Xenopus tropicalis: one gene and its partners. The protein of the gene in region 2 interacts with the protein of the main gene of each other region in a pairwise test. Links are inferred from orthologs where the notes say so. Each region holds a gene or a part of one and is shown on either strand. Other genes may lie near its edges. The genes, in order: mbnl1, dab1, clasrp and lnx1.

Evidence for each region.
Region 1: the proteins of dab1 (region 2) and mbnl1 interact in binary tests that used the Homo sapiens proteins (3 or more experiments, as listed by UniProt). The link is inferred for Xenopus tropicalis from reciprocal best matches to the Homo sapiens genes DAB1 and MBNL1.
Region 3: the proteins of dab1 (region 2) and clasrp interact in a two-hybrid assay, tested with the Homo sapiens proteins (2 studies listed by BioGRID and IntAct). The link is inferred for Xenopus tropicalis from reciprocal best matches to the Homo sapiens genes DAB1 and CLASRP.
Region 4: the proteins of dab1 (region 2) and lnx1 interact in binary tests that used the Homo sapiens proteins (3 or more experiments, as listed by UniProt). The link is inferred for Xenopus tropicalis from reciprocal best matches to the Homo sapiens genes DAB1 and LNX1.

Annotation. Positions count from the first base shown.
Region 1 is NC_030681.2:117,529,075-117,532,646, forward strand, and holds part of mbnl1 (muscleblind-like protein 1), read right to left. Parts: intron 564-3,572; coding exon 363-563; intron 1-362. UniProt on the Homo sapiens protein: Mediates pre-mRNA alternative splicing regulation. Acts either as activator or repressor of splicing on specific pre-mRNA targets. Inhibits cardiac troponin-T (TNNT2) pre-mRNA exon inclusion but induces insulin receptor (IR) pre-mRNA exon inclusion in muscle.
Region 2 is NC_030680.2:87,453,401-87,456,972, reverse strand, and holds part of dab1 (disabled homolog 1), read right to left. Parts: intron 2,860-3,572; coding exon 2,732-2,859; intron 2,300-2,731; coding exon 2,219-2,299; 3' UTR 2,204-2,218; intron 1-2,203. UniProt on the Homo sapiens protein: Signaling adapter of the reelin-mediated signaling pathway, which regulates the migration and differentiation of postmitotic neurons during brain development.
Region 3 is NC_030684.2:71,269,557-71,273,128, forward strand, and holds part of clasrp (CLK4-associating serine/arginine rich protein), read right to left. Parts: intron 3,255-3,572; coding exon 3,153-3,254; intron 1,195-3,152; coding exon 1,115-1,194; intron 1-1,114. UniProt on the Homo sapiens protein: Probably functions as an alternative splicing regulator. May regulate the mRNA splicing of genes such as CLK1. May act by regulating members of the CLK kinase family.
Region 4 is NC_030677.2:39,804,285-39,807,856, forward strand, and holds part of lnx1 (E3 ubiquitin-protein ligase LNX), read right to left. Parts: intron 1,470-3,572; exon of another isoform or gene 1,448-1,469; intron 782-1,447; 5' UTR 730-781; coding exon 335-729; intron 1-334.

The DNA of each region.
Region 1 (3,572 bases), on a different chromosome or scaffold from region 2:
CTGCCAGCAAAAGTATGAGTTGATAACTTTAGCTCCCAAACTCTGTTTTTTGTACACTATAAAAAGTATGTCTCTAAGTAGAAAACAATGAAAATGCTGCTGCCCTTACCACTGGGAATAGCAGATACTAATTAGGTCATTAGAAATAACTTGTTTAAGCAATTTCTTGTTAAGAAAAGAAAAGACAAATGATGTTATCTTGCGTCCAGATAATTTGCAGAACATTTTTTATATATATATATATATATATATATATATATATATATATATATATATATAGATATATAGCTTTTTTTTTTACTAAAGAGAAGTGACACAAGCAGGTGTGCCAGTCCTATTGAATTAGTGAATTGCCTCTTTACCTCTAGTCTGTCTGTTCGCATTAACTTCTGTGCAGCTGCGGCTGCAGCTGATGGAACTGCCACTCCGGGATTTCCTGTGACAAGCATTGGCGTAGTAGGAAGAATTTCAGCTGGCATGAGACCTGGAGAAACTGGTCCCAGGTAGGGGTTAAAGGCTGCTGTTGCACTGGTGGCTAGGCTTGGTGCGACTGAAAACATTGGCTGAAAAAAAAAACATTAGAATAAGTCACTTAAGGCCAGGATAAGGGTTTGTCTTTCTGTAGCATAATCTGCATAATACTGTTATGTACATACATTTAATTTGGTTTGTTATGGTCACAGAAATGATTGTTCAATCACAAATATATACAGCACAAATCAAACAAGGAATTAACTGTTAGTAAACTCTACCTAAACTGACCTCAATGATAACCAATGCAGGATGTTATAATTTACAGATGCTATATACATTCTTTTAATTATAATTTATTTCTGCCCTTTGGTTTTACACAGTCACAGTGTAAAACTGTAACATCTGTTGCAAGTATTAACGGACACTGGTGATTCCAAAAGTACAGATCTCCTTCAACAGTTTATGGAAACATCAGTGCCATCCTGTAACCCACATAAACTTCCTTCCATGTACAGCATCTGTTCCTACTGAACTCTGGTGGGCATTTCTTCCCACTGCATGCCATGTACTTGATAACACCCATACAATATGCCAACCTTTTATACTGAAGGCAGTAGATAAGATAATGATTTACATTTATTAACTGAACCCATGCAAAAGGGTTTATAGTAAATGTTAATTTTGTGTAGCAAAACAAAGGAAAATTCCATGTCTAGCAGCAGCCAGTTCTCCTCCAGGTCTTTAAGTACAGTCATTGAAGCATTTCAGGTGATGAACACATGACATAGTGAATTATGTCACTGACACAAGTTTTTCTTTCATTCTTATCTTCTGATTAACTCTTGACTTGAACTGACAAATATAAATTGTGGAAAACATTCAGCACTGTAGGTCTGGTCTTTATGGTATAATTGGGAATATGTGGCATCTAATTGCAAATGACAATTTATGGATCCCACCTATTAGGTTGATGCCAGACACACAGATATTTTCGGCAAGCGGAAAAACGCTTGGCGAAAATACAGCCCTACGCCTGCTACTTGTGCCTGCACGCTAATGAATGAGATACACTCGGGTGCAGGCACATGTAGCCGATATACGCATGAAAACGCGAGATAATGCGACTTTGCATTATCTCGCGTTTTCATGCGTATATCGGCTACATGTGCCTGCACCCGAGCGTATCTCATTCATTCGGGTGCAGGCACAAGTAGCAGGCATAGGGCTGTATTTTCGCCAAGCGTTTTTCCGCTTGCCGAAAATATCAGCCCTACGCCACGTCTGGCATCAGCCTTACCTGCACGTTATTAAAAGGTGTTTAGAATTAGCACCTTTGAATGCAAGTGGCATATGGGGCTTATATAGAGGGTTCTTTTGTCCAATTACTGTACTCTGCACCTTGCACTAGATGCTTTGGGTGCAAGGGTACAGGGGTACAGAGTACTGTGCATATTGGTCATTGATGGGTAAAAGTATGTTGTATTACCCTGTATTAGAATCTCTAGAGCAGTTGTTGTCTGACATTTTCAGTTCAAGCCCCCTTGGGAGTTTCAGGCTTTAGTATGGGTAACAGTGTACAGGTATAGGATCCATTATCCAGAATGCTCGGGACCAAGGGTATTCCGGATAAGGGGTCTTTCCGTAATTTGGATCTCCATACCTTAAGTCTACTAAAAAATTAATAAAACATTAATTAAACCCAATAGGATTGTTTTGCATCCAATAAGGATTATTTATATCTTAGTTGGGATCAATTACAAGGTACTGTTTTTATACTACAGAGAAAAAGGAAATCAGTTTTAAAATTCTGAATTACTTAATTAAAATGGAGTCTATTGGAGACAGGCTTTCCATAATTCGGAGCTTTCTGGATAACGGGTTTATGGATAAGGGATCCCATACCTGTATTAGCAATTTGAAATGTCTAAAACACAAGAGCTTTGGGACTTTGCCCTAATGGATATGATTCGCTCCCCTTAGTACTCAGCCACATGAATCCAAGCGTTGGTAATTTACCTCTATACAGTTTTGTACCCAGAGAGAGAGACAATTACCAAATTTGCTCAGAACAACCCTTTGGGATACAAAGCCATATGGTTCTGCTAGGTTCCTTGCTAACTTAAACGAGCACCCAGATGCATTAAAGGAGATGTCAAGGCTAAGTTTTAAATTAAGTCTAATGCCAAGGGCGCCTTACCCCCACCCTAACCGCATACGTACCACTCCACCACTTCCTCCTACAACCCGAACCGTTGCATTATTCCTTTTTCTGTTTCGTGTTTCACCCGACGGCCATTTTGACAGGTGAAGTCATCAAGAGCGTGCGTGTATGTTACAAATGCACATGTGTGCCTAGCCCCTCCTGCTGATCTCTTCAAGGATTTTTTTTAAGTTTTTTTTTAAACAAGCTTTGTTAACACGCACAACCGCGTTAACGAAGGGCCGGTACTGACGGCGCATGTGTTTAATAAGGCTTGCTACAAATGCACTTGCGTATACGCCAACACACCAAAGAGTGTTGTCTGGCAGTCTGTAGGCAGCGGTTTGTGAACACTGATAGCCATGGAGCACAACACTGCTCAATTATTCAGCACTCAGAGCCACAGCTATAATAAGGTACTGTTCTGCCCTTTATACACTATATTAAATTTTCATCTAAGGGGTTGACATGTCCTTTAACCCTTGGGATGAACCCATAAATAAAAAATAAAATAATAGCGATAACATTATAAAATACATTATCAGTAAACTACAGGTTAGAAAACTAAAGCAAAGCTTAGATTGGTGCAATTGATGCAGTGGCAAAATGTATTTCCTACATTAGAGTCCCATTATATGTTCAGACTGCTTTTGGGTTACTGGCAGGCACACTTTGATCTTACAGTTAAGTTTTGTGTAAGTTCAGCTATATCTGTTGTCCCAAGGGCAGCTACTTTGTGTCTGTTTCTGGTATTTCAAGAGCTGGCTGTGGAATCAGAAAAGGCATCCTCTGTTTAGGAACTATATTGCTTCTGTAATTGAAAGTTGATAGCCTCCCTAAAAACTTTAATTAGGCATTGTTGCTGTAAGATCACTGAGTGATGAGATGCGCTCAAGGC
Region 2 (3,572 bases):
TTATTCTGTAAGCATTATTGTGTGAACAAAATAAAAAATGTTTGAAATGAAACCACTATTCAATAAAACATGATCTTTCTCTAGAATAGCTATAAGGGAGTTGATTTTATAAATACCAGCTTTTTCATTAAGAGTGTATGTACTAAAAGTTTTATTGTTAAATATCTCAAGGGAGTACCTTGACTGTAAATATAATGTTCAATTTTCAATACCTGAGAGAAGTACACTACATAACAATTCTTTCATCGAGATCTGAAAACTGCTCAGTGTCCCTTTTGAATTTAACTAAACTGGTGTAGTTGTTTTAATATTATTTATAGGAGTTTAGGATAATATTTACAACCAGCCATAAAGCAGGAGGAACTCTGTGGCACAAACTGTGTAATCTGCAGTAATGAAGAACACCCTTTTTAAAACCATGTCATCAGCAGGAACACTTACTGATGAGTTCAGGGTTGGACTGGGGGGTTCAGGGCCTACTTCCCCAGGGGCCCTGCACCCCCACGGTGCCCCCGCTGCATCCCCCATACACCCCATAGGGGCCCCCACCAGGACACCCTAAACCCCCACAGGGGCCCCTACACCCGCCCGATGTCCTCCTCTGAGCGCATGTAAGTGAAACTTACTTTCAACGCATCAGGGGAGGGACACCAGCAACAGGGATCGCATCTGGGCCGCCGGGGCCCACCAGAACCAGGGCCCACCGGAGTTTATTTTCCAGCCCAGTCCAACCCTGCCTGAGTTACAAAAAACCTACAATATGTGTTAAAATATGTAAGAAGTCATAAAAAGAGTAAATAATAATCTTGCAGTACACTATAAAGTGATTTAAGAACTACAGACCCAAGTGCAATGCCGAGGTGGAGAGCTGGTGCAGTCTTATCCACAGCCCTCCTGGTAAGCATATAACGACATTTTTGATAATTTCTTACCTCCTACTTGGAAAATACTTTTTCTTGTTTCAATATTGTTTGCAATAATAGTGCAGTAAACAAAGTGAGGTAAGTACAGATAACTTGTTATTTGAGATGGGGGTGGAAGAACCCAACTGAACACATCCAACATTTGTTGGATGAAATGGCAAGCCCACCAATATTGTTCCAAAATCTAGTGGAAAGGCTTCACACAAGAGTGAATGCTGTTGTTGCAGCAAAAGGGAGGACCAATTTCATATTAATACCCTTCTTAGCCACAACAATTAGCTGCTACTAAGTAGCTCTGTATGTCTTTATCCTAACAGAATAAATTAAGATCATGCGCAAACATGTAGTAAATAGTGGTTTTATTAAAATAGCCATTGCTTCCATTTCCTCGCTATAGCTTATAATCTTTTTTGGGGGAGGGTTATTATTATTTATATCATATATTGGTGTTTACCTGACACTATCCTTCCCAAAGTCACCTATTCCCAGATTGGCACACACTTCTATTCTGATTTAGCATAAGGTTCACTGAGAAGAGCAAAATTTTTCACCCGGCATGGATTCCACGTTTTGCCAGTGATGATTTTTTTTGTTTTTTTTTTTGCAAAACTGCAGCAAAATTACATTGCAAATTTTTTTTTTTTACTGCAGTGAATTTGACTTCAATGTATTTTTTGTAAAAAAAAAAGCTCCACCAAAAAATTCTGATTGACTTAAATACAATTTGCTAAAGAAAAGATATTGAAAAAAATACCCATTAACTTTAATGCGTTTCACCAATTTTTGCAGTTTGGCAAATTGTACTGAGGTTTCAAAAACTTTTTGTCAAAACGGGACAGATTTTCTCATCACTATAATTAGATAAGGGTGTAAATAAAAACAAGTGAGTAATGAACTATTCTCTCTCTCCCAAATGTGCTTTAATTAAACTGGCAGAATTTATACCTTAGTGCAGCCTATTAAGCATAACAACATGATGGCTAAACATATAGGCATTGGTAACTATACAGACAGTTTAGATATTGGCCTATTGATGCAATAGATATTTAACAGAACCATATAAGGTAGTAGCAAAATATATTTTGGACAAACCATACAGGACACAGCACAAACTAAGTGTAACATAAATGAAGGTACTAGGAATTATGTACAAAATGGAAAAACAAGCTTCACATTGGGTGTAGCAAAGAGATCGCGAAGAAGAAAATTATTGGAAAGGTATGAAACAAAGTGTGAATGAAGGGATACAACAAGAATAAGAGAAAGAGACAGATACCTACCGCCAGCTGTGCTATCTAGCTACCGACCTGTGGGCTTATAGCATCACCACTTGGCTCACCTAGGTCAGTGCAGGATGAGGCCTGAGATGCATCAGGCTAAAATACAAGAACAATAACACTCATATTGCTAAACAGCGAAAGAGCAGACAGTTTAGAAAAGAGCAGGATTAAAGCATTTCTATTAGTTTGTAAGAGAAGACAGTTTTATTTCTAAACTCTAAAATCTTCCTTTAATGCCAAATAAATATACTGTATTTAGTTTTGAAAACAACTCCCCATGTATCTTTCAATTCTTGTACATTCAGTACAAGCTCAAGCACAAAGCAGCTACCGGCTACTTACATATTCTGCTACAGCTAAAGAATTCACAGTATCAAACAACACTCCTGCCTAAAATTGCAGAACCAACTTTAAAATTTGCTTTCTTTTCTACATTCCTTTCAGCTTCTGGTATATATTATTGAGCAGAATGTATGTCAGTATCTTTGTGTTGTCTGGGGAATCAGCTTTTATCTTAGAGGGACTTACTGCATCTTGTTCTCCACTTTTACAGGGACTTTCAAAGCCTTCTTCAAAGATGTCATCAGGAATGGGATCGCTTGTGTGAGACGCTGAGGATTTTGAAGGAGAGCTCTGCCTCGGGGCTGGCGTTGGCGCTAGGTAGAGAGATGACATTGGCAACAATTAGCAGACGCATTCTTATAGCTCACATCAAGTGAAAATGGAGTTGCTCTAAAAATCTCTGTTTACAGCATATATTATAATGACATTGAGACGGAACTGGGTTTTGGAGGACACGGTTAGGTAAGGATAAAAGAATCATTTGTTAAAAGATAGATAAAAGAATACGGACTGCTATGGAATCCATATTTCATTCTATATTACAGATTTGCCTGCCAGAAGTTAAACAGACTCCATCAAATTCTTTTTGGAGTCAGTGGTTTGAAACTAATAATTTTCCTCTGCAGCCTGCATGCTGTCGAAACCTGTTAAGAAACATTTTTCATATGGAAACAAATACATTCATCATGTAGCTGTAGTTTATGCAAGGAAAATATTTAAACTTTCTTTTACATTGTGTTCTCAATTCATATTCAAGTGTTACAGAGTGACTTATCACTTAGCTTTTCTAATTAAAGTTGTGGTGCTAGTGGTAGCATCAACCGAAAATTGAAAAACTCAATGAGAAAAACCAAGTGTATGTGAAACAGCAGATGGGCATTAATATCTCTATGACAAAAAAACGGACACAGATTGTAAGCTCTACGGGGCAGGGACCTCCTTCCTACTGTGTCTCATACCACATGGCACTTATATATATATATGTATACATATATGTATTTATTGTATTTATTTATTATATCACTTG
Region 3 (3,572 bases), on a different chromosome or scaffold from region 2:
GCTGGGCATTTCCTAGCACAATGGATTTTTACAAGTCTCCAGCTTTAAAAACAAATATGGCGTATATGCTTTAAGTAAAAGAACAATTGCAAAAAAAATATTTAGGCCAGAAAGAAAAAAAAAAAAAAACCTTTAAAATATAAATATAAACCGTACAAAATGCAGCATCTAAGGGCTTTTATAATAAATCCACTGTTGTCCCGTACGTATAAAAATTAAAATGCGGGGCAGGCAAACAAAGTAATTGCTCACAGTTAATTAAAACGGCAATCACGAGTAAGCTCAAATGGGCCTCAAAAAGCCAAAAAGGTCTTAAAGGAACAGTAACACCAAAAAATGAAAGTGTATAAAAGTAACTAAAATATAATGTGCTGCTGCCCTGCACTAGTTAAAGTTGTGTGTTTACTTCAAAAAGTCTACTATAATTTATATAAATAAGCTGCTATTTAGCCATGGAGGCAGCCATTCAAAGGAGAAAAGGCACAGGCTCATAGCAGATAACAGACAAAACACTATTGTATTCTACAGAACTTATCTGTTATCTGCCATGTAACCTGTGCCTTTTCTCCTTTTTTCCAGCTTGAATGGCTTCCCCCATGGCTACACAGCAGCTTATTATATAAATTATAGTAGTGTTACTGTAGCAAACACCCCAGTTTTACCAGTGCAGGGCAACAGTGCATTATATTTTTATTACTTTAAAGCTCTTTCATTTTTTAGTGTTACTGTTCCTTTAACAGTTGTAGCAACAATGCCAGAATTTAAAAGCTGAACAATTGCAAAGCAAAGCTTACAAACTGATCAAGTCAGCTTAAAGACCCCACTTTCATATGTGATGAACCAATTGTATTTTTCAGAGATAACATGGTGGGAACATCTGATAAACTTTCGTTTCATCAGATGGTTCAGCTGACTGGGTGAGAGAGTCCCAATCTGGCTGGTGAAATCTCTTCCAGCACTCAGTTGTTCCTTTGTGTCTCACTCCAACTAGACTTAAATCAGAAACTTGCATTAAATGGTCAAAATAGCATTACATTCCCCAAAATTAATGGAAAATAGCACTTGGGGGCTTGCTCATTAATTTAATTAATGTAAATATAGTAGAGATACTCACTTCCAGCAAAGTCGTTTTGAACAAGTCCCCGATACCGCTCATAATTACATTTACGGTCATCAGACTCTTGCTCAGATGAGCTGTTTAGGTGTAAAACAGAAGAACGATTTTTAGTAATTCTACAGAATTTTCGACAAATCAGAGAACTGTACAGACTAAAGAAATATAACAGTAAATCCCTAGAATCCATTTTCAGATATGTTACTATCATCTAACCATTCATTTTTTGTACCTTACTTTCTGCTTACTGAACTGGCCCCTGAAGTCATCAGCCATTTCTGACTGGATGCATAGTTAATGTTGGTGGTGTGTCCACACGATGCAAAATCATGTGCACATAAGACTGTGACGCGGCTAAATGAAGATTGGAGCAGAGACACACAGGGGGAGATTTATTAATCGTTTTTTCTGCGACTTTTTCGTTCCTTGTGTATTTTTGCCGATTTTTTTGCATGTTAACGAGATCTTTTCATACTGTGCGTAAAAAAAAAAACGCGGCAAAATCATATTGTCGCAACAATTACAAAAGTTTCGAAATTCATTCAAGCTTCGGTATCGTGACTTTCCTTGGGCCAGGTTGGAGCTGTAGAGTGCCATTGATTCCTATGGGAGGCTTCCAAAATCATGCACAGAAGGATCAAAGTCAGAAAGGTTTTCCTGCATTTTACGATCGTTTGGATATGAAAATTATGACTTTCGGATCGCCAATGCGATATTATCGTGACTAATACAATTTTTTCGTAAGCATATTCGTGATATTTGCGATCTTCAGAAATTATCGCATCCGATCTGAATTTTTCCCATTCGGGATTCGAATTCGTGTCTTAATAAATCTGCCACACAGAGTTGGACTTAAGCTGGCCATGCACGTTAAGATTTTTAAAAGATCTTTTTGTTACTGTAGGACCAAGCTTATCCATCAACGAAAATGACCATTTCAAGTAAAGTCTAGTTGAAGCTAGGAAAGCCATCTGTTTGGTCCTGCAAACAACTACGAAAATTTTCAATCCTCCCTCTGATGTTGGGCCAGTGCATCTTTTCACTTAAAAACACTTCAACCTGGAGTGCATTTCTTCCAGCATCATGCTGCATCTTCAGTGAAATCCAGCAGCTCTCCAGGACCATGCACATTTTTAAAATAGTAGGGTCATCAAAATGTGAGTTTAGAGCTAAATAATAAACGTAATAAAAACTCACCCACGTTCTATTGATTCCTATGGGATTTTTAAAAATTATATATAAATAAATAGGTAAAAGTTCAAGTTCACCAATTGATAAATACACTAATTAAAATCCCATAGGAAGCACTGCCAGAAGTCACTAAAGATGGTGCTTATGTGAATATACCCTGGGCCAGTGTGCTTTTACAGTGAAGAAGAGAACTGGCCAGGGTCCAAGGTTACTTAATGTAATCGCTGTGAAGAAACTGGCATCCCCCAGTATCCCTGTCTTTGCTAAAAGTGATAAGTATTTAAGGTTTATTTATTTAAGCATAAACCAAATCAATAACCTCAACAATATTATAAAATCTATTCTAAAAATATTATAAAATATATATCTGACATATTTTTGTGTTTTAATTAATGTGGGTCAATAAAGGTGAAAGATACACTAAGGGGCCCATTCATCAATGTACGTTTGAGTCCGAATACTAACAATTCGTATTTCTTCTAAGTTTTAGAACTGTGCATATTTTATACGAAATTTTTTAATTTGTGCTACTTTTTCATACTTTGCGAGAATTTATGCGACAAAACAAACAAGTTTTGGAATTATTCCATCTTCGGTATCGTGACTTTCCTTTGGCCAGGTTGGAGCTGCAGAGTTCCATTGAGTCCTATGGGAGGCTTCCAAATTCATGCACTGAAGGATCAAAGTCAGAAAGTTTTTCACACCGCTTACAATCATTCGGATACGAAAATTTCAGAACTTTCAGATCGTACCACAATATTTTTGTATGATCGTGATGCGAAATTTTTGGATATAATGCGATTTTTTCCCACTTTTTTTTATATATATGTGCCATGCTTTGCCTTACATTGTTGTCAGCAGAGGGGGTTTATACTCCGGAATATAATCAAGGTGAGCTCGCACATCAAAGCGGTCAATCATGTTATTGGGATCCCCTTGCCATGGCATCCTAGCAAAATAAAAATGTTAGGCACATTTCAAATTTGATTCATTACACTCATTTAATAAACCAGAAAAGCAGAATCCCCCATCCAGTTCATCATCACTTTGTTAAAAACAGTCTTTCAAATTAGGAAGGCACGGGAATGGGAGCCCTTTTTTAATGAGTGATCAGTGTGCTGCATTCTATGTTTAAACAGGGAAGTTATTCCTTAGAGCTGGAAGGGGGAAGCATACTACTTACAATAAAAACAAATTAGATTTTCATGTTTTATATTAAGAGTAAATTTACCCTCCCCCATTTTTATAATAGTTACCACTGAATTGT
Region 4 (3,572 bases), on a different chromosome or scaffold from region 2:
GCCAATCACAGCCCTTATTTGGCATCTTCAAAGAACTTGTTTCATGCTTGTGTGGCTCACCAACACGTTTTATATCTGAGTGTGGCTCACAAGTAAAAAAAGGTTGGGGATTCTTGCACTAGAGGTTTCTAATCTAGACACCTGGACAAAATTATAACCTGTACCAAAGGCAGCACTATTGTAAATGCATAGATGCTCACCAATTCAGAATAATGGAGATTAATTCAACAGCAACAACAATCAGTTGCATAGTCATAGAACTAGAACAAACACAATGTTATAAGTGACTTGGAAAACAGATTTACCATAACATAGACATAGAGAAGGAACATACCTGTTCTGGAAGTGTTCCTCAAGGTCACACCGTTGAACAATATCTGTACAGTGTTCCTTAAATGGGCAGATGACTGGAAGTTTATCTAAAAGATTTTTTACAAGTATGGTGGATTTCTTGCAAGTCTGCAACAAAATATGCTTACGATCCACAGGGCAAAAGTCTTCATGGACTAGAAAGCTAGTGAGGCAGAGAGTACAGTAGGTATGGCCACATGGAGTGTCTAGCGGTTGTATGAGGGCATGCAAGCAGATATTGCACAGCAAATCATCATCCACTTCCTCAGTGTATGTATAAGAATGGTTCTCCTCTTCTGAATGCAGTTGACCACATACAGTACACAGTGATTGGGGTTTTTCATTGTCCAGTTCTTCAATTGCATCATTTGACTCCATAATGTAGGGTGCAGAGCAAGGAGATTTCAGTCCCAATCTTGATCACACAAACCTGTATGGCGTTAATACAGACAACAAAACACATTAGTGCCTATAGCCTAAATAAGTTTTGTATATCTTAATAATAAAAAAGGCCCTTGTACATGATTTTTATTAAATTATGATATATCTATGTTGATGCAAAATAATCCCTTTTACAGTTGAAATGTTTTAGTAGCCATAATGCATCGTGTCCCACATTCGTGAAAGACCCCTTTATAATGAAAAATACCAGGTTACAAATATTCCATATATTACATACCTGTTTAATGGGATAGAAAGAGAGAAATATTACCCATATCTGTGGAATAGTACAATAAATCACTCCCTGAGAGGGCTGGACAAGAATAACTGGCCATACATTTTGACAGGGGTGTTTGTGGAGTAAGGGATGATTATTAATGCTCTTGCTTCTGAAATCAATACAAACTATATAATACGCATTTAGACATGTAAGGTAAATTGTTGCATAAAAAGTAGGGGATTTAAACATTTACAGTATTAAAAAGATACTTAAGAGTAGAAGGTAGCTCATATGGCTTGTTATCAATAGGCAGCATCTGTGGTGGCATGGGTGGCTTGCACATCTGGGAAGGCACCATTAAAGCTGGAGGTTTTGGAGCAACATACTGTATGCTGCCATCTAGACAGCGTCTTTTTCAGGGAAGGCCATACTTACTTCAGCAAGACAGTGCCGAACTGCATTCTGCATGGCTTTACAACAAGTAAGAGATTCTGGGTGATAAACTGCCTATCTGCCTGCAGCCCAGACCTGTCACCCATCCAAAACAATCATAAGAAAGAAAACAATAACAAGTTTTAATATTTAATATGTTACCTTTGTACTATCTGCAATTAAATATAGGGTTTACATAATTTGCAAAGTATTGCAGTATCTTTTCATTTACATTTTTCATTTACATTTTTACTTTTTTGGAAACAGGGTTGTACCATTTACTGGAATCACAAATCACAATTTCATATTAAGACAAGTTTGTAGGTACAAATTGGTGTTTATGACAGTATTAAATAATGAAGGTGCACTACATTTATCGAGAATGTGGGTGTTACCTCATGCTGGCTGCTTAAATGAATGCCCCTGGATATTTATTATTCTGTAACATTCCTTGCACTAAAGTAAATATCCATTCCATCAGATAGACAAGAATAGATCCATCTTCATGCCAGTCTCAACCTGCCCTCGATACAAGAGCTAAAGTCATTTACGGAGACATCTCATGTCTCTTATTTCACAAAACAAGGGTGACTCCTGTAAAGTGTTCTGAAAGCGCCTTTGAGAGGAACAAAGAAGTCTTGAGATAGAAAGTGCAATTCATTATAAACACAAAGTATACAATATACACTGGTTTGGATAAGTGATTATTGTACAAATAGGGACCAATCAAAAAAATCTATTATGGGCAGAACATTTCCTATGAATGTATTTATTTGCTCTAACCTGAAAAATATTTGACCTCCTTTTTGATAAGCAATATTATTTTATATCTGCTTGTTTAGGGAGGATCATTTCCTGTTAAATATACGACTTGCCGCCACACCCATGGGTACTAGTTTTATACTAGCTACTATTCCTTCATAGAGACTTCCATCCTTTTGTAACACCAATCTGTTTAGGGAAAGCCCATGACATATATGTACTTTTACAGATGCAAGCAATAACAACCACTTGAAAACATATTTTTTGGCGAATTTGTAAATTATAAAACCATATTATTGAAGTGTAATAAAATAAGATCATTCACCCATTAATGACAGCAGTTAAGTATCATTATGAGGTGTGCTTAAGAAAACATGAAATGTTACATAAAAATAGCCAGATTAAATCAGTTAATACATTGCCAGGAATTATAGGGGCTCATTTATGACTGCAAGTGCAGTGTGCGATTTCAGGAGGACGTCTCCAAATTTGCAAGTGGGCGGGGGAACTCCTGTGGGGGGGAGGGGCATGTAGAGTTTGCTACCAAGCCCCTCTGAATTTTTTTTTGCAGGGGGTCCAGTGCAGAGTATTTACACCACTGGTTCCCCTGCATCAATAGGCACACTGTGTGTAACTTACAATAGGAGGTATAACCAACAGCATTTAGTGCAACTATGTGAGAGTTCAAGAGGCCGCTTTAGACACTTTAGATGTACGCACCTTTATGGAATGTTGTATATTCATGCAACAACAGCACAACCACAACTGCTCTTGTGGGTCATACATGTAACAGAGCATGGGCAATGATATTGCACAGGCACATTCTATGGTTTAATTCTATAGTTAGCAACGTGAAAAAAGAATTAAGTTCATGGAATAATTAAGTCTAATTAACATGCCACCGACCCCTCGGGGGAAGATACCGTTCCCTTAAAGCCAAGTTTCTGATCTATAGATGTTTTGGCAGAAGTTTTAGACTTGCCTTAACATGCAGGTTTCTGTTAGGTTATAATGGTATTAGCTGGAAATTGCCCAAACTTGCATTCCTGCATTCAGTACAGTTTCACTTGTCATTAGGAGCATCTTTGTGATTGTAAAAAGCAAAGCAAAGGGAATTCCAAACATCTGTCCTCCATCAGTTGTTATACGTCAACAGACCCCACCTCTGATAGTAGGGGATGATGGAAGTTGTATTGTAACTGCAGCTGGAGGGCAGAAAGTCTATAATAAAATGGTCATTGAGGCTGGATAGGGAGGATTCAAGATATTGTATGTGGAACTTTATACCAGCGCAGCAACCTGTGGCAACCAGACCTTTGTTATGACTACATTTAACTATTGATCAGAACTAATTTGCTATGGGTTA